2 linked regions of the Daphnia pulex genome follow. The protein of the gene in region 1 interacts with the protein of each later gene in a pairwise test. Links are inferred from orthologs where the notes say so. Each region holds a gene or a part of one and is shown in the gene's direction. Other genes may lie near its edges. The genes, in order: golgin subfamily A member 2-like and NADH dehydrogenase [ubiquinone] 1 beta subcomplex subunit 9-like.

What was found.
Region 2: the proteins of golgin subfamily A member 2-like (region 1) and NADH dehydrogenase [ubiquinone] 1 beta subcomplex subunit 9-like interact in a two-hybrid assay, tested with the Drosophila melanogaster proteins (2 studies listed by BioGRID). The link is inferred for Daphnia pulex from reciprocal best matches to the Drosophila melanogaster genes GM130 and ND-B22.

The regions. Positions count from the first base shown.
Region 1 is NC_060017.1:7,939,045-7,954,963, reverse strand, and holds golgin subfamily A member 2-like, read left to right. Parts: upstream 1-7,889; 5' UTR 7,890-8,025; coding exon 8,026-8,070; intron 8,071-8,154; coding exon 8,155-8,940; intron 8,941-8,999; coding exon 9,000-9,194; intron 9,195-9,274; coding exon 9,275-9,496; intron 9,497-9,567; coding exon 9,568-9,714; intron 9,715-9,777; coding exon 9,778-9,876; intron 9,877-9,934; coding exon 9,935-10,041; intron 10,042-10,106; coding exon 10,107-10,179; intron 10,180-10,237; coding exon 10,238-10,388; intron 10,389-10,452; coding exon 10,453-10,623; intron 10,624-10,687; coding exon 10,688-11,130; 3' UTR 11,131-11,215; downstream 11,216-15,919. Other genes in the region: NAD-dependent protein deacetylase Sirt6-like, read left to right, coding at 29-511; cyanophycinase-like, read left to right, coding at 1,789-1,929, 2,013-2,348, 2,415-2,605, 2,669-2,777, 2,844-2,976, 3,045-3,358; cyanophycinase-like, read left to right, coding at 4,039-4,167, 4,237-4,572, 4,661-4,848, 4,911-5,019, 5,085-5,217, 5,291-5,595; cyanophycinase-like, read left to right, coding at 6,248-6,376, 6,448-6,783, 6,862-7,049, 7,112-7,220, 7,307-7,439, 7,506-7,810; 60S ribosomal protein L10, read right to left, coding at 11,292-11,459, 11,516-11,678, 11,736-11,842, 11,905-12,103, 12,164-12,186; sorting nexin-29-like, read left to right, coding at 12,875-13,107, 13,165-13,241, 13,305-13,550, 13,608-14,130, 14,188-14,341, 14,407-14,667, 14,736-15,013, 15,192-15,228; TM2 domain-containing protein 3-like, read left to right, coding at 15,428-15,805, 15,872-15,919.
Region 2 is NC_060020.1:1,139,445-1,153,904, forward strand, and holds NADH dehydrogenase [ubiquinone] 1 beta subcomplex subunit 9-like, read left to right. Parts: upstream 1-7,407; 5' UTR 7,408-7,468; coding exon 7,469-7,566; intron 7,567-7,639; coding exon 7,640-7,782; intron 7,783-7,851; coding exon 7,852-8,048; 3' UTR 8,049-8,136; downstream 8,137-14,460. Other genes in the region: katanin p80 WD40 repeat-containing subunit B1-like, read right to left, coding at 54-269, 335-867, 941-1,201, 1,439-1,519, 1,903-2,251, 2,314-2,464, 2,535-2,722, 2,814-2,939 and 3 more; uncharacterized protein LOC124192399, read right to left, coding at 8,191-8,295, 8,368-8,478, 9,226-9,447, 9,509-9,603, 9,679-9,823, 9,910-10,103, 10,196-10,389, 11,120-13,441 and 3 more.

The DNA.
Region 1 (15,919 bases):
TTTCCTCTTTTTTTTATTGGTTTCTTAGGACAAGAAAGCCGATCTGGTCATCAATACTTATGTGGATGACGTGATGAAGTTACTGCTCAAAGAATTGAACACCCCTTGGTTGCCTTACGATCCCAAATGTGATCCTACCCGTCAACCGCTAAGTGAAAAGGAAATGTGGCAGGAAGAATTTACAAAACGAGAGTGGACACTCGGGGCTCGTGCAGTCAGTACAACACGCAAACGACTTTCACACCCGGAAAATAAAGCCGAGCCTAAGGCCAAGAAAACAAAAGACAAAAACCAAGAGAAGCCAATTCCTTGCCAAACCAACAACTCCGCCAACGCTAGTGGGGAAGGTAGTAAACAAGATGCGGAGGTGGACTCTGTCAAAGTTGAAGAAACTGGAGATGAAATCACGAATTTAAAAGAAGAAAAACAAAATGACGATCTAGTTAACCAATCTGAAACAATCGTTAAACAAGAGTCCGCTCAGTTGCTACAGGAAAATGGGAGTGTGTAATCCATCGTGAAGTCATAGTTACTGAAAATGTGCATAATAACAGGGAAATTATCTACATAAAAATGTGTCGACAATAAAGAAATCCAACGCGTTAATTGCATTTCATAGACGGTCTCATCCAACGTGGAATCCCTACCCCTCCAAACTTTCGTTTTATTTCTACTCTGTTCGTTTTATTTCACGTGACTTTTGGTTTCGCTGTGTTTTTTTTTTGCTTGCCCACAGACTGTCTTGAAGGCAAGAGATCAACTTCGTACCCTTATTTGAGTTTGTCTAGCGTTTCTGTATTGATATTAGATCTGTCGCCACTCGCCAGACATCACCTTGTTCTGATTTTTAATGCGATTACTTTTATATCCTCCTAAACTAAATAGAAAGAAATTGATCCGGAATTCTGAAAATATGATATTCTTTTGTTTTTCTAATCCAAGCAGTATCAGGAAAAACTACTGTATAACTTATTGTTCTTTAAAAAAACAATAAATTATTGTCAAAATGAATGTCGCTACAGTATGTTGGGAATAAAATCGGATTTTGATGGATAAGTCTAAACTATCATATCAGTGTTTCATGTCTACAATGAATAACGATTTACTAACCACCTACCTTATTCAAATTTCTACCGGAGATCTGTTTCTGGTCTGTGATTTCTCAAGAGGCTCTGATGAAATGAGCAGGGGCGTGGCATTATTTCCTCAAATTGTCACTGCAAATTGTAGTGAAAAAAAATTAAAATTAATAAAACAAACAAAAATTCGTTTTCATTCGTTTCACTTCATATCTTTCTTTCGCTTTTTTGTCATGTTTACCTACTGATGATTAGACAGCAAGAGGCAACACAAAAGTAAACTTGCTTAACGTTGTAATATTTACACATCTGCAAACGTCACTGTGTCCGTATTCCTTTCAAATGATTACATATCCTCAACAGTCAACAGGCCTCTAAACTTAAGTGGAGGTACAATATTCATAGACGTGTAGCAACATGATTCGATTAAAGCAAAGAAAATCGAAACTTATTGCGCCTTCTCCATGTTGAAATAATCACGAATTGATTTCTCGTTGACTGTATATGAACTAAACATCGAGTACAAACTCGTACAAACTCGAATGTTTTTTGTTTATTTTATTTTTATGCAACTAGTTTGACGTCAAATTGATTATCTCCATTAGCCTACTATCTCTTGTCTTGTCAAATATTATTCACGCAACCCAACATTTAGGGGATATAATCTGCAGTAGGGAACTAACGACCTAAACGTTCAGTAGTGCGTTTTATGTTCGCGATGAAACTATTATTATTAAATATTCTAACGGCAACATTTTTGGGCCTTGTTTCCTCTCAGAGCCTAGTGCTAGTTGGAGGCGGCCTAACCGACGGAAATGCCGAAATTTGGAACAAAGTGGTCACGCTTGCGGTACGAATAACAAATTCTAATTCACAAGAGTACAGTATGTGCATGTCTATAATTTTATAATTAATTTCTAATTTCCTTTCAAGGGAGGGAAAGGTGTGGCCAAGATCGGGATATTCACTACGGCATCTTCAGATCCCATAGGAGCGGCTGAGTACTATGTTGATATGTTCGTGAACGTGTACGGGGCGGCCAGCGCGACGTATATTCCAGTTACTGAAACTAGTAACAATGCCGACGACCCATCCGTAGCCGAACTGGCAAGACAACAAACTGGATTTTTCTTCGGTGGAGGCGATCAACTGAGGATTCTTACAGCCCTTCGTCCTAACGGCAGAGACACGCTAGTTCTAACTGCTGTCAAAGATATGCTAAAAGCTGGCGCAGTAGTGGGAGGAACCAGTGCCGGGACCGCTTGCCAAGTATTCGATTTAACATTTTGACCCCTACTTCATTTAAAGAATGAAATTTGTATAACTGAATTTTAGAGCTCGGCTGTCATGATCACAAGTGGCGCTAGTTGGGATGCTTTGACTTATGGGGCTTTCAGTGGAGGACCTAAACCACTTCGTTCAAATGACCTAACTTACGATGAAAAGGGTGGACTAGGTTTACTAGACGCTGGCTGGGTAACTGATACGCATTTCAGCGAGCGTGGTCGAGAAGGTCGCCTCATTCGGTTGGTCTCTAGCTACTAAATATAAAAATCATCTTACCTTTATATTTAAAAAAATTCCAACAGGTTGTTGCAGGATACCAAGGGCCGTGATATCGGAACTCCTCGAGGCTTTGGTGTGGATGAAGATATGGGCCTTGTCGTCACGGATTTGTACACAAAACCTGTCGGAACTGTATGATGGAAAACATCTTGTAGTTTCAGTTTCTGTTCAAAAGATTTTACAGCAATTGACAAATAGGTTATCGGTACTAGTGGAGGCGTGTTTTTTGCTGATGTTACCAACACGGTGGTTGTTCCATCTCAGAATACTTTTTACACGGGGGTTTCAGCCCACTACCTAACTCAGGACGACTCGATTGATCTCACCACTGGTATACAAAATCAACATTTTCAAGTGGATAAATTTGGGCACAAGTTAACGTAATCAATTTGATATTAGGAAAAATCACATTTGCAAGTTGGAAGTCTCCCCTGAGAGGTAACGAATATTACACGAACGCCGACGTGTCCACTGATATTCTATCCGCAAATTTGAATCGTCGATGGGCTACCTTTGCCGACCAGTTTTTTGACAATAGAAGAGATGATTTCATCGCTCATTTATCTTTCGAGAGGGATCCCCGATTCGAAGTTACTTTTGACCGTCTGAATGGTGCTGGATACGGCGGATATTTTCCTAGCGATCCCAGCACATTCGTTGTGTCCTACGAAAACCTCCAAGTTGCAATCCATGAAAGTACAACTATTGGTTAAATGTGACATAGGCTTTTGGCGCTTTCCTAGAACACACGAAAATGAGCTTTAGGGGCTCTACAGTAGTTTACTAATACACTGATTCAGTTGTTTATCTGCAAAATCAAAATGATCGGATTCTTTTTATTTTATTTCAAACTTTGAAAATTGAAATCTTCTAGCTAAAAAAGGAAACATATGAGAGTATAAAAGACATATTTTTACTTGTCAGTGTTAACGCGCTTAAATAAGACGAATAAAAATATACTACCTTACTACTAATCGCCTGAACTTAGACGTAAATAACTACAAAACCCAGAATGTGACACTGGGTAAACACGTCCCTTAGCCGTACCATATTGTTGTTATTTCACATTTTCAACTCACGAAAACATGATAGCATTGCAACTCTGTTATCTGCCCAACTGCGTGTGGGTAAACAAGTCAGTGTTTGTTTACTTCAGGTCTGATCCGTGTACAAATGAAAAAAGTATTCAGACGTTTCGTATTCTAGGACCTTGGCGAGAGCAAAGTCGTTGAATACTTTTTTGACATACAGTTACAAAAATAAATGTTTCAATCTTTTTTTTATCACCATTCCTTGATCAAAAGTAGTATAAAACAGTCGACCAAATTTTGTACGAAACGGAGTAGTAAATGATCGAGCTGTGAGACCAATAGCTTTTCACTGAGAAGTTGAGATGGTTCTTTTATCATTCGCCTTGCTGGCAACTTTGGTTGGTCTTGCCACCCCACAAAGTGTCGTATTCATAGGTGGCAACTTAGCGGACGAAAATGCACCAATCTGGGATAAAGTTGTCGAACTTGCAGTACGTATACGATTTATTTTTAAAAGAATTAAATTTAGTTTCCTCTAATATTAAATTTTTTTCTGAAAGGGAGGTAAAGGTGTAGCCAAATTTGGTGTCTTTACTACGGCATCGGCAGATCCTGAAGGATCGGCGGTTTACTATATCGATATGCTTGTAAACGTGTACGGGGCGGCCAGCGCGACGTATATTCCTATTACTGAAACAAGCAACAACGCCGATGATCCTGCTTTGGCCGATATAGTTAGAGAGCAAACTGGATTCTTTTTTGGCGGAGGTGATCAATTGAGGATTTTGAATGCCCTACGACCTGCTGGCAGAGAGACGCTCGTTCTTGCCGCTGTGACGGAAATGTTAAAAGCAGGCGCAACTGTAGGAGGAACAAGTGCTGGAGCCGCTTGTCTGGTAACATTTGAGCCAACTTTAAAAAAAAATTGAAATCAAATTTTACCAGATATTTAATTTAAACTTAAATTTGCTTCGACTGATTCAGAGCAACAGTGTTATGATTACGGACGGTACAAGTTACGATGGATTGGTATACGGAGCATTCAGTGGCGGACCTAACCCAGATAATCCGGGTAGTCTTTGTTACGACGAACATGGTGGTTTGGGATTTTTGGCTGGCTGGTTACCCGACACACACTTTAGCGAGCGTGGTCGAGAAGCTCGTCTTATTCGGTGAGTTTGTAGTACAAATCTAGTGTTTTCAATTACTAATCATTCACAATTTACCTTATTAGAGTCCTGCAAGATAGCCGGGACCGCGATATCGGAACAACCAGAGGTTTTGGAGTTGATGAAGACATGGCACTCGTAGTCACGGATCTGTACACTCAACCTGTTGGAAAAGTATAGAAAATGAATGGCATCGTTTAACTAAACATTGAAATATTAATAACAACGTTTGGCAAAAGGTTATTGGAATTACTGGAGGAGTGTTGGTGGCTGATGTCACCAACATAGTTGTAACTCCATCAGCAACAACTAACTACGAAGGAGTCATCGTCCATTACCTCACGCAGGATGACTCGATTGATCTTTTATCTGGTAAAATTAACATTTCTAGCCCAATCGTATAAGACAGATAACTGTTTCATTCCTTCAATTGGTGAATGTTTAGGAAATATCACATTTGCCAGCTGGAAAAATCCTTTGAAAGGGAAAGAGGTGTACACCAATGCTGTCGTCTCAAGTGACATTTTGTCTGCCAGGAAGAGCCGTGAATGGGCATCTACGGCGGCCCAGTTCTTCGATAACAAATTAGATGACGTGGTTACGCATACTACTTCTCAAAAAAATCCGTCATTTGAAGTCACATTCGATCGTCGTACGGCTGCTGGATATGGTGGGCATCTTCCTACCGATCCTACAACCTATCTAGTGTCCCACGAAAATCTTCAAGTTGGTATTCGAGAAACTGTATAGCTATAACCGCTCTTTGAATGTGGCATCATAAATATACTGATATACTTAGTGCAGAACTCGAATAGCACAATTTCTATTCTTTAAGGTTTAAGTTTTGTAGACTCTACTTAATGGATGTTGGACTATTATATAAGTAACTAAAGGAAAGATGATACAACCGAACATCATTATTTTGTAATTTTATCTATTTATATACAGTACTTATTTAACTATATACAAAGGTCAAAAGATACCACAATTCAGGTAAATAGACGATTAAGCTCCTTTTCAGTTCGACTCTTCGTTTACCTAACGTGACGAGTTTTGTGTGATAATTATTTCACTTTCAACTCACCATGACACCCGGATTGCGTTTTAACACTGCTATTATCTATATCTAACTGCGTTTGGGTAAACATGAGGTGGATGTTTACTCCAGTCTGATTCGACCTTTGAATAAGGAATCGTTGCCTAGACAAACGGTTAAGCAATTTTTCAAAAACTTGGGTCTAAACTATAGTTGACATCTTTTATCACCATTTCTCAAAGTAGCAGTGAACTGCGTATAAAACATCGAACGGAAATTTCTATTACGCAGAGCTTGAATTGACGAATCGAACGATCAGTACTATACGCACGTTTCTTTAAAAGATAGAAATTTTGAAAACTTGCGATGGGTTTTTTAGTTTTCGCCCTTCTCACAATAGTTGTTGACTTTGCTGCTTCTCAAAGTTTAGTATTGGTCGGTGGAAACTTAAACGACGGAAATGAAGCAATTTGGGGCAAAGTGGTCGAGCTTGCGGTATACACACAATTTCATTCAAGTGACCATTTAAAATGTTTAATAAACTTTACGGAAATTTTATGTAAAAGGGAGGAAGAGGTGTGGCCAGAATCGGTGTCTTTACTACGGCATCCGCAGATCCTGAAGACTCGGCAGCCTATTATATTGATATTTTTGTCAACATATACGGGGCGGCAAACGCAACGTACATTCCAGTTACTGAATCAAGTAATAACGCCAACGACCCATCTGTAGCCGAACTAACAAGACAACAAACTGGATTTTTCTTCGGTGGTGGTGATCAATCGAGGGTTTTGAAAGCCCTTCGTCCTAGAGGCAGAGATACTCTCGTTCTTACTGCTGTGAAAGATATGCTAAAAGCAGGTGCAACTGTAGGAGGAACGAGCGCCGGAGCCGCTTGTCTGGTAAAAAATTGGTGAACATTTTGTGCGACCATTTTAAAATTATGAATATTTCAGATACAGTACGTTTGTACGATTTAGAGCGATACGGTAATGATTACGGGGGGTTCAAGTTACGATGGATTAACCTATGGTGCTTTTAGTGGCGGATACAATCCGCTTCGCCCAGACGAATTATCTTACGATGAGTATGGTGGATTGGGGTTTCTAGCTGGTTGGCTTCCCGACACACATTTCAGTGAACGCGGTCGAGAAGCTCGTCTTATACGGTTTGGTTTTATTTCAAAGCACGTTTTTGATCATCACAAATTCATACCCTATTTTAACGCAGGGTATTGCAAGATTCACGAGATCGCGATATAGGAACTACTCGAGGTTTTGGACTAGATGAAGACATGGCTCTCCTAGTTTTGGATCTGTATACACGGCCAGTGGGAAAAGTATCGAAAATCTAGAACTCTTAGCAATCAAATTACATTCTAATATTAACTTTTATGGACATACAGTATGATCTTGTTTGTTACAGGTTATTGGTACACGTGGGGGAGTATTTATAGCTGATGTCACCAACACTGTTGTTATTCCTTCGGAGACCACTAATTTTGAAGGAGTATCTGTCCACTATCTTACTCAGGATGACACAATTGATCTTACTACTGGTATAAATTTAAACCAATTATGCAGCAACTCTAATCAATTGCTTAATTCCATTCATTCAATGATAGGAAACATCACAATTGCAAGTTGGAAAACCAACCTGAAGAATAACGAGTACTACAATAATGCAGAAGTCTCAAATGACATCTTATCCTCACAAAGGGATCGTGTCTGGGCATCTGCAGCTGCACAATTCTTTAACAATAAACTGGACGACGTTGTTACCCATTATTCTTATGAAAAAAATCCCAAATTTGAAATTACCTTTGATCGTGTAACTGGTTCTGGATATGGTGGGATACCTCCAAGTAATCCCGAGATTATTGCTGTGTCTCACCAAAATCTTAAAGTTGGAATTCGTGAAAATGTTTAGCTTATAGCTTTTGCAAAATTAGCCATCTTCAGTACACCTACACTTGTATTTTCAAGCGAAACACTGCAACTGAATTTACCGGGACAAAACAAGTGTCATTTATATTTTAGAATGAGCCATCTAGGGGTAAAATTATAGACCAGACCGGGAATTGTTTTGACAACACTTCGACGTTCGTCCGTACAGTTTCGTGTTTACTTTACGATACCGACAACATGGATGCCAACAAGGCAGAAAAATTAGCCGCAGCAAAGAAAAAAGTAGTCACATACTATATTTCTTATTTCTTTGATAAAAATACTTCCTCTGCACTAAAATCCTAAACGATTTCATTTAAATTTTAGTTGAAGCAGTTTCAACAGAAAGGTGGATCCAAAGGAGCTACTACAAATGGGGGCCAACTGCAGTTACCTCATCAGAGTGAAATTGATCAATCCGCATCTGTAATTCCGGTTCCCAATAATCTTAACACAGAACGTGAAGAGCTAAAGATTGATTCCGAAATCCTATGCAAAGAGCCCAATAGTTTTGATAAAAATAGGGAATCTGAATTGCTGCAGATAATTGAAACCTTGACAAGAGAAAAGAATGACATCTCTTCATCTCTCAAGTATTCAAAAGATTTTATTGGAGAATTGCAACTTCAATTGGATGAGGAGAGAAACTTACTCACAGAAGAGAAAGAGAAATCAAAAGAAAAACTACAAGTCGTCTCAGCCCAAATTATACGAGAAGAAGAATTAAAAAATACTGTTTCTATTTTAATAGAAGAAAAAAATGAACTGGCAGTAAGTTTTTCCCAAAGTGAAGAGGCAGTGAAAAAACTGGAAGAAGAAAATATGTTTCAGAAAAAGGAGCTTGATGCTACTAAATCCTCATTTTTGCAACTACAAGCTTCTACTACAGAGGAAACTGGAAAGATGGAGTCAAACTTAGTTGCATTAACAAATCAACTTGAATCAATTAGCCAAGAACTGTGTCTGAAAAATCAGCTTTACAGTGAGGTTAGTGAAGAACTCAAACAATTTCAAATGCATCACAACAATCAAGCAGCTGAAATCAATCAAAGAGATTCCATTATCAAGGAACTCAATCTTCAAGTAGAATTACTCAATGTCAATATGCAGCAGGTAAATCATTTCTGTAAATTAAAAAAAACCTTACAATGATTAATTTTTGTATGACATAGTTGAAAAACGCGGGTCCACCAACTGTTGATCAAACCCTTGAAAAAATGCAAAAGGAAAACGGAAAACTCCAAGAAGAAATCGGTGATCTACGAGAACAGATAAAAACGCTTGGGATAGAGAAAGACGTACTAGCCCAACAGTATCAACAGTATATTCTTCGACTTAACGGACAGATACGCACGATTAGTTCACAGGTACTTTTATCAAGAAAAACTTATTATTTGAATTACTTGTGGGTACTTTTTAAATACTATATATTGAATAACATTTTTAGGCAGAGTCGCTGGCCTTAGAAAAAAGAAATATAGAAGCTACTCTGGAGTCCAAAAAAGATGAGTTGGCCGAATTAGAAGCAGTAATTGCTGTTCTTAAGAACAATCAAGAAACTGCGTCTTCATCTCATCCTCCCCATGAAATGATTACGCCTGCCGAGTCGCATCTCGCACCACAATCTGAATCGGAAATCGCCATGTTGAAAACAAAGATAACTGAAATGGTTGAAATTTTTATTTCTATCGATTTTTAATTTGAATAGTATCTAACAATTTTTTCACTGCATTTTCAAAGGAGTTCAATAACGAAGAACTAGTTAAACTGGCACTAGAAAAGGAATCGCGAATTCAAGAACTTGAAATCCGCATTGATCGCATTCAAAGTGAATTGACCATTGCAACGGCTAATCAAGATCAATGTGAAAGAGAGAAACTTCTGCAAGTATTATACTAAAAATGCTTTATCTTTATTCAATAATTTGTTTATGCCACTGAAAAATTTAAGGCTATGCAAAGTGATAAGTCCGCAGCCTCTCGCGCTATTTCACAGAATCGCCAGTTGAAAATGCAACTCGAAGAACTTGAAAAAGCTTTCATTCAGCTGGTAAAATTCGCTTTCGTGATTGTCATTAAATTTAGATATTGATGTTAATTTGTTGCAGAGTAACGACAAACTAATACTTACTGAAGAATCGCAGATGATGATTCGTCAGAATAAAGAGATGAATGAAAAATTGCAGATTTTAGATCCAGAGGTTACTCAATTAAGGTAACAATTTAAAATTAAGTTGAACAGAAAGCGTAAATTGGATATTAAAAACGAAATTATTCCAGGCAACAGGTGGAAGACTTGGCCGGTCAAAGAAACGCGACAATCTATTGGAAGCAGGAGTTAGAAGAAGCTCATGTATGTAATTTGATTACATTCCGCTGTGGTACTTTTGATTTATACCGTTTTGATACAGGAAAGAATTCAGGCGCTTTCGCATCAAAATGCCGAACTAAAAAAACGAGTAATCTGGAATTTGAATCAAGCTCCAGTTCGAGGTAGCCGGAAACACCGCCATGATCACGAAGACGTTAACGAAGACCATTCACATTCCTCATCCGAAAGCGGTATGACACTTTTGTACCTAACTGAAGCCTATATACTTTTAAAAACTCAAAACTGCAATTGTAGAAGGAGAATCTGACTGGGTGCCTAATGAAGTACACCAAAAACTTCTTTTTCATTACGAACAAATCGAACAGCAACTCAAACGTTCAATGGCTACTGTATCTGATTTGACAGAAGAAAAAAAGAAACTAGATCACTTGGTTCTACAGCTGCAGAGTGAAACAGAAACTATTGGTGAGTAACAGTTGTTGTAACCTTTAGTTTTTAAGGACTTGACCATTTTCAACATGATTTACAGGTGAATATGTCAGTCTGTATCAAGTGCAGCGCGGACTGCTGAGTAGACGAGCTGAGCAGTTGACGGCTGAACGTCAGAAACTAAAGGAACGGATAACGAAATTGACACTTCTCTTACCTTACTTGGCTCCGCAGTTGAAAAAGTTTCCTCAGTGGCTTCAACTACAGCCCGAGTCTGAATCTGAACCTATAGCCAATTGTGAAGATGGATTAACCATCGTTGGTACCAACGACCCGGATGTAGAAAATCAAGTGGAAAATTCGCTGGATCATGTTGCTTCCAGGATTGTTGACGTTTTACTGGAAATTACAGATTGCAGTTTATCGACAACCGAAATTGCTACACAACCGGATACTTTCCCTTTGGAGCAGTTAAGCCGCAAGACTGACGAAAATTTCCACCCTTGTTGGCCTATGTATTCAGGAAGAATTATCAATATTTAAAAATTTCCATTCCCATTGTGCCTTTGCAACTGCTATATGAATATCTAACTATTCCATTAAATACATCATAAGAACATTTCTTGAATTCCACCTCTGTTTATTCTTATTTGAAAAAATTCAAAGATGGTAATTGAATAACAAAGATGGATTGGACAACCAAATTACTGTTGGCTGAAAATCGTACGCCATCTATACCAAGCAGTAAGAGGACCGTGATCTGGGCGATACTTGACGTTTGCGCCATCAGGTTCAAGCTGGGCATTCTCTTTCATGGTCTCATAGACTCCACGTTCAAACTTGGTGAATCCCCATTTCTTGGAAACATAAATCTATATACAAAAGAAATAAGTGACTGCAATCTCAAATTCATGCACAAAGAAAATACCTTTTGGCGACCAGGGAACTTGAACTTGGCGCGACGAAGGGATTCGATGACAGCGGCCTTGTACTTGTCAGAAGAGCGAATGCTCATGATGGGCTGTCCAATGTTCACACGTGCAACAGTACCTTGGGGTTTGCCAAAGGCACCTCTCATTCCTGTTTGGAGCCTAAAATTAAGAAAACACTTGTAGCACACGAAACACCAATAAATCAATAGATAGTACCTATCAGCTCCAGCACAACTTAACATTTTATTGATGCGGATGACATGGAAAGGGTGAACTCGCATTCTGATGTGGAATGCATCCTTACCACAGTGCTTCACCAAATACTGCAATGCATATAATAATATTAGCTCACTGTCTTAGATACTACATGTTACTAGGTACTTGCCTTGTTAGCGCAAATACGACCAGCTTCCAACGCTTCGGAAGACAGCTGCTCGTACTCATCGGAAACCAAGTGAACGCAGAGGGGGAAGTCTTCTACGCTAGCCTTCTTCCTGCCCAAATCGAAAATCCTGATCTTGGCATCTGGGACACCTCGACAGAAACGAGACTTGGGGTATGGCTTGTTTTTGCAATACCGGTAGCTAAGAAATAAACCAACATGTTAAAAGCCATACCAAATAGCCAGTCATGATTCTACTCACCAACGAGCCGGACGACGACCCATCTTGATTCCTGTAAAAAAAAATGCAAGCTATGAATTGAAATTCGAAAAAAAATGAGCACTACTTGGCTTTGACAACGAACACAAGAAACAAATAAACAAGAACCTACGAAATTACGTTTCGTCGATGAGAACAGATGAACAAGCAAAGAAACTTACCTCAGACTTCGTTTAACAAGAAAGAGAGTCGAGAGAAATGGAGATGCAACAATGCCAGTTCTAATGTTACCAGCAAATTATGCCAATTCGATCATAAATTCATACTTAACAACAAACATCCATTCTGTTTAGGCTAAATTTTTGGTTCTGATGAACACATAGAAAATTAAATATTTATAGCTATGCAATTAATAAATAAAATTTCAAAGGATTAAGAATTCTATTTATTTACCATCTGTTACCGCTGTAATTACCATGACACCATCGCCATGTTTACGTTATTTTTTTTACGTAGGCAATTTCATTTCTCATGAATTTGTCTCAACTAATAAAAACATTTCATACCGTTAAACACAAAATATTGATTTACCTTTTTTTTATCGAAGGGAAAAATCGAAAGAAAAATGATAAATTAAAACTACGGCCAGCAACAACTGTCCGCTCTCGGTTTACGAAGACATTTGTGCCCGTGACCTAGTGTTTCATTTTGTAAACAAACCCTCCCCCTAAAAATTATTGAAAAAGCCTTACAATGTGGGAAAGTGGAAACATTCGATACCGCGATGAACTTATTAAAGTCATTCGGGATAATGTCCAAATTTGTGAAAAGAAATTTGGAGGAAGAACTTTGTTAGCTACAGAAGCTGAACCGTCAGTAATGAAAGTTATCAATGGCTTCGAACTTATACTTCAAGATGGTTTGAAAATAAAGAATGGAGTCAACTTGAAGAGCATAAACCTCAATGTCAACAGTTTCAGCTTAAGGTATTCTAGTAATTTGACGTGCCCTCACAGTAATTAGTATGTTGTGTATTTAAACAGACATGTTACCGAATTAGTTTCCAATGGAATAAGCATGGTAATGAATCCAGTGGGGCAGGCAGACCAACAGATACCAGGTATGAGGTATGAATATAAACATACTGGTTGATTTATATTAACAAATTCTTGCTATTACCTAGTTTTTTGGCACTTTGTGCGAAACCATCTGACAAGACATGAACAAGAAAGATATTATAACATTCAGAATGTAAGCACAGACTATGGAAGAGGAAGAGCATGGCTGCGTTCAGCTATCAATGAGCATTCACTTGATCGTTATTTGCGGATGCTTTTCTCAGATGAGAATCTCCTTTTTAACTATTATGAATCCTCATCTCTGATGAATGATACCTCATCAAGAGAGTGTTTACTTACTTCAGCAAAAGGTTTTAAGGTGCTTTATTCAGCCTCTGATTCAATAAGACTAAAATATTTTATTGTAGATTTGCGTTCTGTGATATTTGCTCTTGTAGTTGATCGCAAAGAGCTGGACCAAGTTGATGAATCTAAGAAATTGATGATACAAAGTCTTCGCCCAGAACCCCAAGCAGTTAAGATGCCAGTTGCAGAACAAGAGCAAACAAAACGAAAAAAAAAATCCAAAGTTCGGGTTGTTGATTTCGAGAGTGATGATGAAGAAGATGAAAAGCCCGCAAAAGCTTTCAATAGTGCAGCAATCACGATTCCACAAAGTGGCAGTACACCATCCTTAATATTCCAACACACCGGAAGTAGCCCGAGCATCAAATCCGTCGACTCGCAGGATGCACAATTGGCGGAAACGAAGCGCTCCAACATGAACCTATCTGAAATGAGACAAATGCTCCTAGATCTCACTGATAAGAAAACCCAGTTGGAAGAAGTAAAATCATCCCTTCAGTTACAACTTCATGGCGTTCAGCTTGAGAAGCAGGATCTTCAAGATCGATTAAAGGTAGCCGAGCAACAAAATGGTGAATATGCGAGGTAATAGGTTAAATTTTCATATTTTATGGTGAAAGAAAAATGAAATTTTCTTTTTAGGGAAAATTCCATTCTCAAAGAACAACTAAAGCACTACATGGGGGCTGTTCAGATGTTGAAGAATTCAGCTAATAATGCTCCTACACCAACGTCCACCTCTCCTCCTCCAGATTACCACCAAGAAGCTGGCCATTTTGAAGAAAAACTGATTCAGGCAAATACTGAACACAACTTGATTCATAGTTTGAAGTTAAAATGAAATAAATTTCTGGTTTTCAGGTTGCTGAAATGCATGGTGAATTGATGGAATTCAACTCTCACCTTCAGTGTAGTTTGAAAGCAGCTGAACGATTTGCCGACCGCTTAAGAACTGAATTGGTGCATTTGCGCGGCCCTTTGCCTTCTGATTATGCTATGAATAATGACGATAATAGTCACTTGTGTAATTTGGCTTCATCAGCTGAAAGCCCCTGGATTCATGTTTGGATCCCATCTACTTTTCTAGTTCAAGGAACAGTTGATTCGCATCACGTTTATCAGGTTTTTCAAATTTTTCTCATTCCCAATCTAGAATTTTGGTTATATTTCAGTCGCCGATTGAAATTCAGGTTTACATTCGGATGGGTGATACTGAGTGGACTATTTTCAAGAGATACTCACAAATGTATAAATTCCGCAAAGAAATGAGTAAACGATACCCTTTCACCGCCGAAATTCATTTTCCGCCGAAAAAAAAATTCGGTTATCGCGAAGAAAAAACGGTGGAAGATCGACGAAAGAAACTCCAAGAATTTCTTCGTCAATTTCTTAATCTTTGGATGAGACATGAGACGTGTATCACTACTCTCAATCAAGCTACTTTTGTTAGTCTTTTTTCATTTTTCAGGTAAATGTTTACCCTACTACTAAAGCTTCTCGCAGAAGAGTCTTGCTCCGAATCAAGAATGAAATGTAGTTTAAATAAGTTTAATTTAAATGCTTGATGATTCACTAAGAATCTAATCTTGATTCGGAATAAGACTTGTTTTTTTATCCATTTCTATACAACCCTCTTTTCTATGCAGTGAGCAACCGAATTCAGCCCCTCAAAGTACCACGTGAATACGCTATCAAGAAATTCATTCCACAAGTCAGCTTCATCTTATGACCATACAAAAATTCAGTTGCATGAGATTATTTAAGTTAAATGCTATTTGTTCTAAAAGAGTTATTTTGACGGATGACACGAAGTAAGGACTTGATTTGAATTATATAATATTGGCGCCACTGCGTCAAAAAAAGCATTGTGTACAGTGGAAAAATGTCAAAAAATGTCAGTAAACTACAACTACTGTTATTATGTTTACTATTGTGTTCTATTCCTACAAAAACGACGGATGAGTTCAATAATTCGAGTACGAATAATCAGACAGAAGAAGCTTGCCTACAGGAATCATGTGAAACAATACCGAAAGAAGATAACGTTACGGACGTGGGACTAGCAAATAATTTCCTTCATGAGCAAACGATTGAAATTTTGAACGAAAGAGTAATACCATGGCATATTTCCAATTCAATATGCCCAATTGATAGGGAGTGCCATTCATTACCTGCTGATTGCATAATCTGCAAGTTCAATTTTACATGTATCTATGGTAACTTGGTAAATGTCAGTTGCCAAGCTATTCCAAAATGTGATGTATGCATTACTAAAGCAAATTTTAACTATATTTTTAGATTTAAGTAAGTTTTTTTAAATCAACAGGGTCCTAAAGTATTTGAGAAAACTATGAGATGTCAATATTGTTACCAG
Region 2 (14,460 bases), on another chromosome or scaffold:
ATGCATAATTATAGCGTCATTAAAACAAGAGCGAATTCTAACGGAAAAAGTACCTTGGCATCCTTGTTCTGCCAGAGATTATAAATTATCTGCAGATTGCGATGCCGACTACTTAAAACGGTCATCATCGGCTGATGCCCCTGGACAATGTTGGTCACGATTTCCATTTCAGTTTGCTCCAACGCCAGGGAACTGGATTCTTCATACGGACTGGACATTCCAGATACTGAAGGGCTGCCACCACCCATCGACACGGAATTGAATTTGCGCTATAAAGAATCAAAGCGTGTAAGGAAATGACGCTAATTAGCCCATCGTTAAAAAAAGTTATTACCGGCATAAAATCCTCAAGATCGAGGCCTGACGGTTTATCAGACATAATTGGGACGAAATCCTGGTGAACATTATGAGTACTCATCGGAGGTTGTGATGACATGAAAGGGGAATAAAGGGAATTGACTCTGGCTTTCGGAGTGGGCACAGTCAGATCTGGTCGATTGCGAGTTAAAGAACTGGAACGTGATGTCGAATGCGATCGCATATTCAATGAAGGTTCCGAAGGGCTGTGGCGTATGTTGTTCAATCTGGATAAGATAACAAACAATATAATCAAATAGGCTGTAACGAGGTTATTCGATAAAGAGACGACAGACTTTGGTGGATTCTCAGGATCAGAAAGCGAAGGCTGAAGCACTTCTTTAATCGAATCCTTTCGGTGAACCAAATCTCGACGGAGGGGGTTACGGCCGCGCGATGTATGCGGCCCGGTTGGCGGTAAAACGGGCGGGCCTCCACTTAAGTGGGTCACGTCCGGACGTGGAGACGTCATGGCAATTAAATTGGTCGGTGTATGCAGGTTATAGGACTCTACAAAGAGAAAATAAGGACAAGGGATTGAGCAGATGTGGAGAAAGCCAAGAAAACTCGAACACTTTTTTACCTCTTTCTACGCTCGTGATAGATGCGATGGTCTTGTTAGACGACAAAGTTACCGATGATGTACTGTTTCGTCTTTCTCTCATAGTTGTGAGACCCGCAGCCGGTCTTCCGGGTCCACTCTGTGACGTTTTAACGAAAGGTGGCGAAGGTGAAGGTGACGGCCGATGAACCGGACTATTACCCGATGCCGGTGTAGGGAGAGGTGAATGCTGCTGAACCAGATCAGGTGGCGGAGGACGGATAACCTGCGGAATGGCTGGATCTAAAACAATAGAAAGCAAATTACGATTTTTTCTTTTTTTTTACAAATTTAATACTGTGGTCGAGAAAGAGAACAACAACAAAAAAAATGTAACGAGAAAAAACAAGGTGCGACCGCAACCGCATGCCTCTGGACAAAAATGGGAAACCAGAGCAAACCAAGAAGTACCAACACCACCCACGCCAAAGCTTTTGCTTTCTTTTTTTTTTGTTGTTGTTTTGTGTTGAATCGACTCACCCAGTTTCACTTTGTCGCCGATTAGTACCGTGCTTGACTCTTTGTCCGAATTGATCTCGAGCGGAGGGGGGGTGCGAGACACTGAAAATGCCAAGAAACACATGAAAATAACAAAAATCACGTTGTTCCAGTTAAGGACTTTAGAAAGTTTGTTTTTTCGACAAATATCCCTATCGATAAATGGCGGTTTTGTTCACTTTACGGTTCACAAAAAAACCCATTAACTCACATGACTGTAGCAAAAAGAAACATGACAAATAAGGAGTTTTGCGCGCATTTTGACACGGCACACAAGAACCAAATTTGGAATGACTTGAGGTAACTGGAACAACATTTAAGTAAGACGATAACCACAAAATGATGAAAAGTACCTTTCCGAAAAATGTCGTGCGACATGCAAAAAACCTGTGAACGCACACAATAACCTAAGAACTAACGAACTAAGAAAGCCATTCCAGACTTACACTCTCTACCACGAGGTTGAAAGATGTTGTGGTAGTGGTTCAAGTCCTTAATGTCTGCAGCGATGCCGTCGTCTTCCGTCTCAGTGCTCGACTTTTCATCCGACTCTATTGTGTCGTGATTCATCTTGATCTGACTTTGGCGCAAACCACCCGGCGGTCGCTCCTTGTTGAAACTCTTGCGAAAAGATACGCCGTGCTGGAATGCCGTTCCTCCGCCTCCTCCTCCTCCGATGCCAACTCCTCCTCCGCCGAGGCCAGAAGAAGTCTGTAAAGAATCACCGAAGGGTGCCACTTTCTTCAGGTCGATTACGTAGATCGACACGTTGCTCAAGTTATACGAGACACCAATCTGTAATTTAAAACAGGGGATATAAAAAACCAGATATCCATCTAAATTTGAACATTTCTTACCAATTGGCCAGAGGTGACGGCCATGTCTTGGATACGACCCCATGGTAGTGGAATACAATCCAGGATACGGCAAGGTTCCCATCCATACACTCTCAGTCCATCTTGAGCTGCACTGAATAAACATTTACCCTCCGGATGGAAATAAATCGATCTAAGAATCATATTTCAAAATGTTAATGTCTGTCCATTGGTTTTCTATACGAACAATTTATTCGACGAACCTGATGCCACTTGTTTCTGGATCGGAATTAGAGACTAACGTAAAGTTCTCCAAATCCCAAAAGAGGACGCGTCGGTCAGCGGCCCCCGATGCCAATAAGAACTCGTGCGGGTGGAACACGACCTCAGTGACTGCGGCTGTGTGTTCACGCAACTCAGACAAAAGTCGGCCAGCTCTCAGGTCCCATATCTTTTTGTAAGCAATCAAACACAAACTGATGACTTGATTGTCCATTTTTTTCCTTTTTTACAGAAAAGGAAACGAGGAAAACCGAAAATACCTTGACGTAGCCATCATCACCGGCCGAGGCCACCCACTGACCGTCGGGACTGAATCTCAGACTATTGACGGTCGAACTATGTCCTTTATACGTGAAAATGCAACCTTTGCGTCGAATATCCCACAGCTAGCAGGACGAAAAAGGAGTTTTGATGAGTGAAGAAAACATAATAATGAAATGTGTGGAGGTTTACTTTCATGTTGGTGTCTGTTGAGCCAGTGGCGAGAAAGTCGCCGTAGGGATGGAAATCGAGGGCTTTGATGCCAGCCCGATGCCCAGTCAGCGTGCGCACCATCCGCGCCGCCTCCAGATCCCACACCTTGACAGCTCCAGCAGCGCTTCCCGCGCACACCAATTCTTCCGTTGGAGAGAATCTCACCGCTTCAATAGCCGTTGTATGGCCACTCAGACTCTGTTTTTTTTTTTTTAAATAGATAAAAAAAAGAAAAACCATTTATAGAGGACGACAAATTCTTTTTCCCACGTTTGGCAAGAGATATCCACTCCATCCGAAACATAATGTTTTCTTTTTATGATTTTCTTGAAAGAGAAAAAAATAGGTTCTTCACGGTAAAAATTTATGTTTTCACGAACAAAGCCGAAAAATGTGTTTCAATCACGGCCATCTTTACATCTTCTTGTATTTCGGCATTCCGAGAATTGTTGGTCTGCCCTTTTTTGTTCGGTTTCACCAAGCACGAAGGGGAATCTTGTGAAGGACGAGCTTTACTCGCTACTGTTATAATACTTTCTTCCGAGATGAAATGCAGACGGGAGAAGAGAAAGAGCCGGGAGAGGTGCCCAAGGCCTCATCAGGAATAGGCGGCACGTGACACCACACTTGTGTCATGACCGAAAAAATCACGCACAATCACGAGTGTTTCCAGAGATCATCTTGAATTGTTTTGGGTGGTGTATCTCAAACTTGAAAAACTGCCCAAAAAGTGGTCCGTACCACTTGCGTTATCCCGACATGGACACACAAACTCAATTTACCTTGACCCCTTTGATTGTCGGCAACGACTACGACGGACGACGGGGAGCAGCAGCGGGATTCGGAGGGCGGATAACAAGAAAAGAAAAGAAAGACAAAAAACGAACCGGGCCCGCAGGCTACTGAGCCACGACCTGTACGTCTTGGAACGGTCTAAATCGTGCAGTCCAGCGGAATAATCTCGCGACGTTTCCCACACAAATAGACGCAAGCCAAAAGGAGAGAAAAAAAAAACTACCGACGTTTAGTTCCACACGGCTTTCGGAATGACCATCCAACAAGAACCGAACAAACCCGTTAACCCATTCACGTATCTCAAAACAACATAAAATGATTGGACTATACACCCCCTGTTCTACAGCTCATTAAAAGAACAATGGGCACCGTCCGTTGCAAATATCAGAAGGGAAACATCCGACAGACGATTTTTCTGGGCATATTTTTTGGCAGACACGGATGGCAGATGTTGCTGTTTTTCTTCATAAGGAGAGCAGAAAAAAACGACGACGTGGTTGCTATGCCAACCTTGGCAGACCAAGTAGGCCTAATTAATCAGGATTCACTTGCATAAGGGAATTCTGTCATTCAATAATACAGCTAAACTAACGTTCTAAAGCTGGAAAATAAACAATAAAAAGGAAAGAAAAAAAAAACGAAAGCTACAGCGCAGACAGGAGATCCTTCCGTAAAAGGCAATGTTCGTCAAGCTCTCTCTCTCTTTCTTTCTTTCTCGCTGGTAACCAGTAAAAAAATAAAATGCCAGCATACGTGTGGGTTGTACGTAAGTCAGCTAGCTGAACGCTCGAGGACGACGATGAGGTAATGCATCCTTATTAACAACTCCTAGCTGAACCATCTAACGGAAACAAGTACGAAACAATACGTATGAAAAACAAACATAGTCGAGCATACCAAAAGTAACACGCACGAAACAAAAGTTGCATGTCGATAGCCTCAATCAAAAAAGATTCAGAATCTATAGCGTGACACGAGAAGAAAGAAGGGTGCCCCGACGTCGTCATGGATACAGGGCTGGCGGTTGAGTCGATTTGAATCGAGGGCGCTGTCTTACTATGCCCTATATGGAACTTGACTCTCCTGTTTAACGGCTTGTTCTATGCAAATCCAAGACAAATTTTCCAACGGTCAGCGAGAGTGAGGGCGCAGATACAAGCAAACACTTTCGTATTTATCTGTGAATAACACTCAGCATCCACTTTTCTATTTACCTTTTGATTACATATACCATGATTTCCAACATGGCGGAAGGCCTTTCCCTTTTAGTTTAAGTTTTCCCTCAAAGAAACCTGGGCTCAAATTCCGCTTCTTTTGTATTTTTAGGAAACCTCTGGAGAATGTCACGCTATGAAACTAAAAAAAACAAGAGATTGAATGCCCGACGTCAAGGGCAGATGGTAAATGACGCTAGAAACGCTCGTCAATACTGCTAGACAATGAACACTGCGGGTTGACGGATTGGAAAAGGTGAACATCTTTTCGTTGGAAATTAAAAAAAACTGAAATACACAAAAGAAGAAAGCAGCCATGGGAAAAAGTTAACTGTCTTGACTACTTTTTCCCGTTGTGGCCCGAGGATGAGCTATAGAACAACCGCACGTTGCCCGTTTAAAGCAAAAACATAGACAATTGTTCATCAGCTGCCAAAATGTTCATCTGAGAATTAAGCCCTTGTTGCAATAATAGAGGCCGCGTCCTCCATCCGGACGGTCGATTTGACGCTTCAATTGGCCTTCGTATTTCCTCGCAACGCGCTGTTGGCCAGCCGCGGCGGAAGATGGGCCTTTCCCCCACTTTATTTCTCCCTCTTGCCTTTTATTCTATTCTATTTTGTAGTATCCCAAAAGCCGAAGGCTACATTTCTGGATGATGACTCGAGACGCATTGTCTGCCGATCCGGAGCCGATGAATTAGGAAAAATCTTCTACTCGACAGCCAAAGAGAGAACAGATACAGCGAACCGACTATAAGAAAAGAAACTGTCGTAATTCTACTGCTGCTTCTTGCTTTTCCCACCGATGAAGAAGAGAGAAACACGGTCGGTCGAGCTTCCGGTGGAGACCCGTAACGACCTCCCAAGTATTACGCCTTCAGGTGATCTCCCACCCCTTCAACACCCCACTAAAAGTCTTTGTTTTCCCCAACATCTACTATTTTCTGAGATATAATTAGGAAATGCACACAGTGAATCAAAAGTTCCCTGCCATTAAACGGTCATGGGTTTTCTTTTCAGTCTCTCGAATAATCTCAGGTGAACAGAGTTCATCCAACATGCTGGGAAATCTAAGTTTGTTGACTTTTGTCTTGAAACAAAACCTCAATGGTTAAAGAAACTGTAAAAATGTAATTGTGTTTACCATGATGCATGATGGTTTGCCAATTGCCCATAAATTGACTTTTTTGTCATCTCCCCCGGTGACCAAGACTCGTCCTGACTTGCTTCCTAAGGCCAAGCAATTCACATTGGCTCCATGGGCAGAAAACTCTTCTGCAAAACAAAATAAGAATACAGTATGGAAATTAGTTGTAGGTGTAGAATGCATATGGTGAAAAAAAGAATGAAAGAAGAAAGTGGCCATCACGATTTTTTGGCACACCGACAGCAAGAAGTTTGGCAATCTCTGTGAAAGATCTAGTAAAATGCAAGGTTGTTGGAAGAAAAGATCAAAATCTTACGAAGTTTCCACGCTCTTTTCGTTGTCGTAGCCATGGTTTCTGTTTGGCAGAGCCAAAAAATCAGGGGTGAATCCTAATCCTGTGCCCTAATCAACCCACACACTCACACATTCACACACAGTCACACAGGGTTTACTTGTTTATCAGTTTCATATCATCTTATCATCATCCAGATGAGAGTGTTGCACATTTAATTCCACTAAGGAGAAACTGTAGAGTAGATATGTGATGTTACGCCATTCTCAGTACGTCTGACATGGATTTTCGTCTTGAAAGTAGAGTTGGAATAATTGGCGGGTTATAAAAGAAATGGGACTACACACCAATCAGGGTTAGAAATACAGGTCAAACTTTTTCTTTTCTATAAATCACGCTGAGAATCACAGTAAAAGTGCCTATTGAAAAAATAGAAACGGAAGAAAATCAGGACACACTTTTTTACTTCCACAGTAGCCCAGTAATATTAGACTTCCGCTCTAGAGCTCATGCAACTAACTGCTCACTGCTATCTCTGAAGAACACAACGTTGAGAAATGTAAATTTTAAGGAGAAAAGAGAATTTCGTCTGCTCAGAGCCACCTGGTGAGCTGAGAAAAGGTTCACTTCTAATTTTCTATTTCATACCAAATGATTTATGTCGACTTTTATTACATTGAAAAATAGATTTATGTGAGAAATATGAATCTGTGATAATTTTCAATCTTTTGTAAGTACTCGAGATCACATCTGCATTGAGTTCGAAATAACATATGCTCGTTTATACTTACATAAATAATATAAAATGACATAAATCTACAAATGCGTGCAAATTATAGGTTTTTTAAATGCTATAATATCTTTCAGAAATGAAATACAGTAAAATATGATGATCAAATAGTTGGTTAAACTTATACATGACACCAAGGTGTAATTTTCGTTCTGCTAGGCAGCTGTTTTTTTCTGTTGTTTTCTGAATTGAAGGTTCAAGATGGCGTATCTCCAAACTGAGATTCTTGGTCATACTCAAAAAGTATGTAGACTCTATAAAAGTGCTTTGAAACACGTCTTTGAATATGCACCTAACAGGTTACTCATACAAATTTTTAATTATTTTGTCAGAAATAGTAACGTCTTAACGTGTCAATTGTACACTTTTCAGAGCTGCATATCGGTACGCTGCTGTATGTGTTAGACAGAAATTCGAAGAAAACCGTCATCTAACCGATGCCCTCAAAGTGCAAACTCTCATTGAGGATACAAAGGAGGAACTGTTTCAGAAACAACACAGCCACCCTTTCCGATGTAACATCATAATTGATCTTATTAATTGTTTTATTCATTAAATTTTTTCATCTTTAAAAAATAAAACAGATGCTACATCACCAGGAGGATCAGCCTATGGACGAGAGCTCAAATCTCCTGACTGGGTGCTAGACCTCTGGAGCCCAGATGAGAAAGCTCAATATCCAGAGTATTTTGCTCGTAGAGAGGAAATGAAGAAAGAGTATATAGTCTACTGGGAAAAGAAGTTTGGCAATAAGGCAGAGGAACTACATCATCATCATTGAAAATTTATTTCTGCAAATTACTGTGTATAGGCATTGACAAATAGATAAGAATTCAGACAGAAATACAGTCAAAAGAATTCAAAAGAAACAACACTGTGGTATTATTATTAAATTTGATGCAAGCAGTGAATCATGCAAATATCTAAATTGATGTGTTGACTGATACATTTTTCAAGCCATAGACCACCATTTCCTTAGCTTCCTGGTATGTGACATGGAATGTTTGTTGGACACCATAGACTAGAGCCTTTATTGGAATACAGAAACAAATTAAGTTAAACAAGAACTGTATCACAATAATATAACACAAGAAAAATACTTCTGGCATCAATAAATCTAGTACGAAAGCTCTTTTATGGTCGATTCCTTCCTTTAGTTTTCGGACACGATGCACGTTCTCGTCGAGAAAATCTGCCACCTTGCTGTATAGCTAAAATTATTCGTTTCAGGAGAAGAAAGTCGATTAGAAAACGCAATCCATATTTGCATAGGATAAATGTATAAATGATTAAATCATATTCGTTGAGTGATTCATTTATCCTTTTAACCGTGACACAATTTGAAAATCAAGTTTTGCACGATGGCTAAAAACAAAAGAAACAAGATCAAGTACATGACGAAAGATCCATCATGCTGACGAGACCATTTAAAAAATGAAATGAAACCCCCCTTCTCGATTTCGGTGAATACTGGTATCAACTCACGACGATATAAATATTCGAGGCTAGTCTATAACCGTTTTACCCACGCAAGTGAAACCACCCGTTGACAATCAGAAAAGCGCCAAGAACATTTCCACACGGGTGTTGCATGTGCAGCGGATTATGTTCGGCGATGCGAGCAGCAACATTGCATCCATCTTCTCTCGATCCCACCGTCTAAAATTTCATGAAGTTTTATGTCACCTTTCCGCGCAAAACCCAGCAGGACCTAATGATCACGTAATTACAACATCACGTGACCGGTATCTCTTTCTCTCTCCTGTCGCTGAATAACTTTCGTCACGTTTCCCAGCGAGCCAGGGAAAGTAATGACGGATAGCATATTATTCAGAACCCGAACTATACGCTGTCTTGTCCAAAAGTAGAGAATATTTCCCGCGTTACAGGGGGTCTTTGAAGGACCACCCGGAGGCCAAAAATAAAACAATCACGATCAATGCAGTAAATATACTTGCCTCGCGTGAGTTTTCCAGAATGCCAGATGTAGTTGCGGAACGAGTCAACTGAATCCAGCTCTTCGACTCGTACAGGTTCAGCCTGAAGGCCCTCTCTTCTGAAGGTGATTCAACAAAGTCAGCAAGGTGCTGAAGGCAGGAATCGGTCAAAACATGTTTTTCCAGCATCGTGTTCACAATTTCTCGCCTCCTACTCAATTCCTCTTCAGACTCTACTACAGTCTACAACAATTGCAAAAATGAAACCAATGATTCACAAAAGTTTAATAACACCAAGATATACCTCTTCTTCAGAATCACTGTTGTCCATAAATAACGAAAGGTCCATCATCTCTGGGGATGACGTTAAGTAGCGTTCGGAAAACAATTTTACAGGCGCTGAAATGTTGGAAAATCAAATTTAAAAACAAGGGCCATTTTATAAGGAAATGCTCTTGTGCAATTGATACATACAGCGATGGCAGGAAGTTAAATACTGTCTGGCGGTGAGTTGAGTAAAATTCGGTTTGTTGCGTAAATCAGAGAAACTGGATGCGTGATCGAAGAAGAAGTCGAGTTTTTGGCGGTCGGCTGCTTTGTTTCTAGTCCTGCCGAAAGTCTGTTGCGAGCAGAACATGTTTTATGAGAAGAAAAGCAAAATTGTCAACCGTAAATAAGAGAAATCGTGCATCAATCTCGTCATACCAGAAGTTCAAGGTTAAGCTCGTGGTGAAAGGCAGCAATGACTCGATTGCGTTGGTATTTGCACTGATTATTGGGCTGCTCGATGTTGAATGCCAGAAGGGTCATGGATTTGGGATCTGACGACTCGATCACGGCTCCCGGCAGGAAAAGCCGAGGACTCTTCTTATACCACACCAACGTATTGGGCTCCAATTCTTTCACATTAATTACGTTGCCAGATTATTTGAATTGCACTTTCTGCTCTCTTCACTTCACAGTAATTTTTGTAAAATTTATTATACTGTACCTTTATTGACGGCATCTCCATGTTTGTTGAGCAATTCCTCGGCGAGTTGGGACTTGTTACCTTGACATACGCATGTTTTTAAAACCCCTTGCAAATGAATGAATAAATAAATGCCTAAGTTACCCTTGGTGGGTGTACCCTTGGAAGACGCACATTTGGTTGACCTTTTACCATCTTTGGAAGTGACTGACGTTCTAAAAGAAAATGAAATGAAATCCTCCAATACGTAAATAACAAAGAGAGTAATCAATAAACAAAACATGGGAAAAAAAAACAGATCCATCAACTTTCAAGTCAAAACTAGCTAGGTATAATGCATCGTTATTTTATTTACACACAATAACCCCACTACTGAATTACTGACCCACACTTGTAAAAACTTTCTACTGCACCTCGCGGTTGTTTGTTTTTTGTTATTTTTAACGAAAGCATTTTCATTGTTTCGGTTCAAACCGAAAGACAGAAGAATGGAAGGGAAATGAGAGAAAAATCAAGGCTGCGACTCGGAAATTCAATAAAACAATACACGTTTGTGTATTTTACTTTTTTTTTCTTGTTTCTGTTTTGTCGTATCTCTGTTCGGAGTGTATCAGGGTAGGAGGTGGGGAATACAAAGGTCATCATCATGATCATCAACACTATCGGCATCGTTTTCCACTTCGCATCAAGATATAAAGACGAGAAAATGTTGCATTAAACAACAGAGCTACGGTAGAAATGCCACTCAAGTGCAAATTTGCTCTTTCAACCTAAAACGGTGTTCTTTCATGTGCCAGACAATTCTCAAGGCTTCAAAAAAAAATTGAAAAGAAAATGGAAATTCGCAGTGTAGAATATAGATTGCACGTAGAATTCCAGAGAATTGGTGAAAAAAGTAACAACACTTGAAAAAAAAAAATGGTTTTTATACTCAACGGGCCTTACGTTGGATTTGACTGCTCGTTCTGTTGAGGTTGGGATACGGCAGAGGCGGCGACCGCCATCTGAAATAGGTTTTCTAAGTCACTTCCGGCCTGCAGGGAGGATGGATCGATAAGCAACGTCTGAGTGCCACCGGTATCCTCTCCGTCACCTCCGCACTCCAAGAATTCATGTATATTCGAGCCGGGTTCCCACACGACCATGTACGTCTCTCCTCCTTCGACCTGCATCAGAATGTTGCTGCCACCGTTGGTTGTGACGACTTCGGTTGCCTCTCCATTTTGAGTCATGGACACAATTTCCTCTTCATTCTCGACTGCAACTTCGACTCCATTCTCCAGTACGGTTTCAATTCCGTTTTCTGGCAAGGCCACTGCTGTTACTTCTTTTTCGACTGACAAAGTTTCACAGAAAATGTTCTTTTCTTCTTCGACTACCACCTGATCCATTTCTCTTGCATTTGTTGAAGGTTCTAAATTTTCATTAATTTTGGCATCATTATCTTGCAATTGACCTAATTCTTCCTCCTCCATCGTCTGCTCTGGATTGGCCTTTGCAACCTCGTTCTCATCAACTTGATTCATACTTTCTTCTACGTTTACTGATGGATCTGAAATGGTATTCTCGACCTCGTTCTCATCAACTTGATTAATATTTTCTTCTAAGTCTTCTGATGGATCTGAAATGGTCTTCTCGACCTCGTTCTCAACTGCTTGATCCATTTTTTCTTCTAAGTCTTCTGATGGATCTGAATTGGTCTTCTCGATCTCGTTCTCAACTGCTTGATCCATTTTTTCTTCTTCATTTACTGGTGGATCTGAATTGGTCTTCTCGATCTCGTTCTCAACTGCTTGATCTATTTTTTCTTCTTCGTTTACTGGTGGATCTGAATTGGTCTTCTCGATCTCGTTCTCAACCACTTGATCCATTTCTCCGTGTTCCACTGGCGCTTCTGCATTGGATTTTTCGATCTCCTCGTTCTCGACTTCTTGTTCCATTTCCTCGTCGTCTGACTGGGAGGATTTTCTCTTCCCGACCTCGTTTTCAACGACTTTACTAAGCTCGGTTATGTCTGGGATAATAGGTACACTAGTCTCGGCTAGAAGAGATGCCACGTCGAGCTTGATCTCTTCTTCGCCCTTTGAAGGTTGAGGATCACGGGATGGCGATTCGACGCCGTTCACGAATGCTGGGCTCGTGTCTTTTCTAGGAGACAAACTGTTGGTGGATTCGGGTTCGCCGTTAATCTTTGAACTTCGTGTTTCATGATTAGTGGCATCGAGATCGGCATTGAGTTTATCTATTTCGGCGCTGATTCCAGCTATAAACGACGCTTCTGTGTTCGATGCCTCTTCATCATCCTGGGTGATTTTCTCGGGACTTTTGAGGATCGGTGTGTCAGTCTCTATTGCTGCGTCGTCGTCGTCATCTTCTTCGTCGTCGCTTCTCTGATGAAGGAGGCCGGATTTCGATGGCCGAGTGTCGTCATCCGAATCACTATCTGCTGTTGGCTCTACTTGACTCTCCGTATTAGTTGAAGACACTTCTGTTCTCTGGATCTGTTGCTGCTTCTCTTCCTCGTCATCCTCGTCCCAATCTGCCATCAATTTGTTCTTAACTTCTGGGTTAGCTTCTTTCTGAAGGGACTTGAGCCATTTCTTCTTCGGATTGAATTGTGTCTTGGTGTCATTGGCTTTAACTGTAGGAGTTTTGGCCGACGTTGCAGCGGTTGCAACTTTGGCTGATCGAGGTGTACGAGGCGGTTTAGGAGTTTTGGCTACTTTCGGCGAGGCTTTGACAGACGTTTTCGACTGAGGAGAAGGTTTGCTATCGGTTGTCTCTTTGGGTTCTAAGTTTCGCTTGATTTGATCAAACAGGTCCCCATCAGGTTCTGGTTCTGCGACTGTCTTACTCTTTTTACTAGTCGTCTTTTTGGTTGGCGAATTCAACGGCCTCTTCTGCGCAGCTCTTTGTTTGGTGATGTTGGTAGTAGTAGGTGTTCTGGTGGTAGCAGTGTTTGAGCTCTTCAGGTGTTCAGATTTCTTATGGAAAACCATAAGATTGAGGCGAGTAGTCTGAAAGCTACAACTGTCACATTTGTACTCGCCGACTCCTGGCGATCCAGTAGCAGGCGATTTTTCTTGTCTCCTAATTCTCACTTCGTGATCCGATTGGCCCTGAAAGCGAGGGTGATTGACTTTAGGAGTGACGACTTCTTTGGCAGGTGGGCGGCCAGGACGTCGCGGAGAACTGGTTGCTCCCCCTTTAATGGGAGATTTTGGTTTCAATTCTTTCACTCTGGGATCAACAAAAATGTCTTTGTACCTAAAAAAAGGGGAAATGGTTATTTAAGAAAAAAGCCTTGTACTGTAACATAACATTCAATATACTTTGACTGTGCAGGTACAGCTTTCTTCGGTTGATATTTCTCATCATCAACTATATCAGGGTTACCACCAGTCAACTGCTCGGCTTGTTTGACATTGTTGGCGAATTTTATGAAGGGACTACTTGTTTCATTTAATCTTTTTTTCTCGAAATATTTTTCTGTAAATAATGAAATAAGTATTAAAATCATGCCTGGTAATGATTCTATATGAAAGAATGACATGGCACTAGACTTGGAATGAAATCGTTCTGAGAACATACAAGTTTTGATCACTTTCCCTGTACAAAAAGAATACAAAGAAACGGTAATTATTGGCAAACCCAGCACCAAAACTTACTCATTCCAATGGATATGTATTCTTCCTTCCGGTCTGAGTCATAGGCACAAATGATGGCTTCATCTTCCACAAATTGGTAATTTTCTTCATTTAGATATTTCACGACAGCAATAGTTTTGTCGTTTACGTCTCCTACCAAGTCTTGGCGTAATTCCTCCACGTTTTCGACACGTCCGGCCCACCAGCCAAGTCTTTTGCCGGCCATGACCCAAACCACATCCCCACATTTATAGTTCCTTGGCTCCATGTCACATGCAGCAAATCTGATTGAATGCAACCAAACTAATCATGAGAGTTTTTGGTTAATAATTGCGTTTTTGTTTTGAGATTGTTTACACACATACCTGCATCTAGGGAATGTAGCCCTTGTTTTTTTACAGGGAAACCGCTAGGCAGCGTCATTCGGTATTGAATACAAAGTTAAATATTCGACCGCCAGGTGGCTGATTTTCCCTCGCAAACTGAGAAAATGCGACGCGGGATCACACAAACAGCCCAAATAAATAAATAATGAAGACGGCTTCATGAAAGCTCTTGTTGGAAATCAAACTACTACTTGAAACACCCCAAAATCACTAGACTGAATCAAATAAAAAAATTTGTTGAAAATTAAACGGC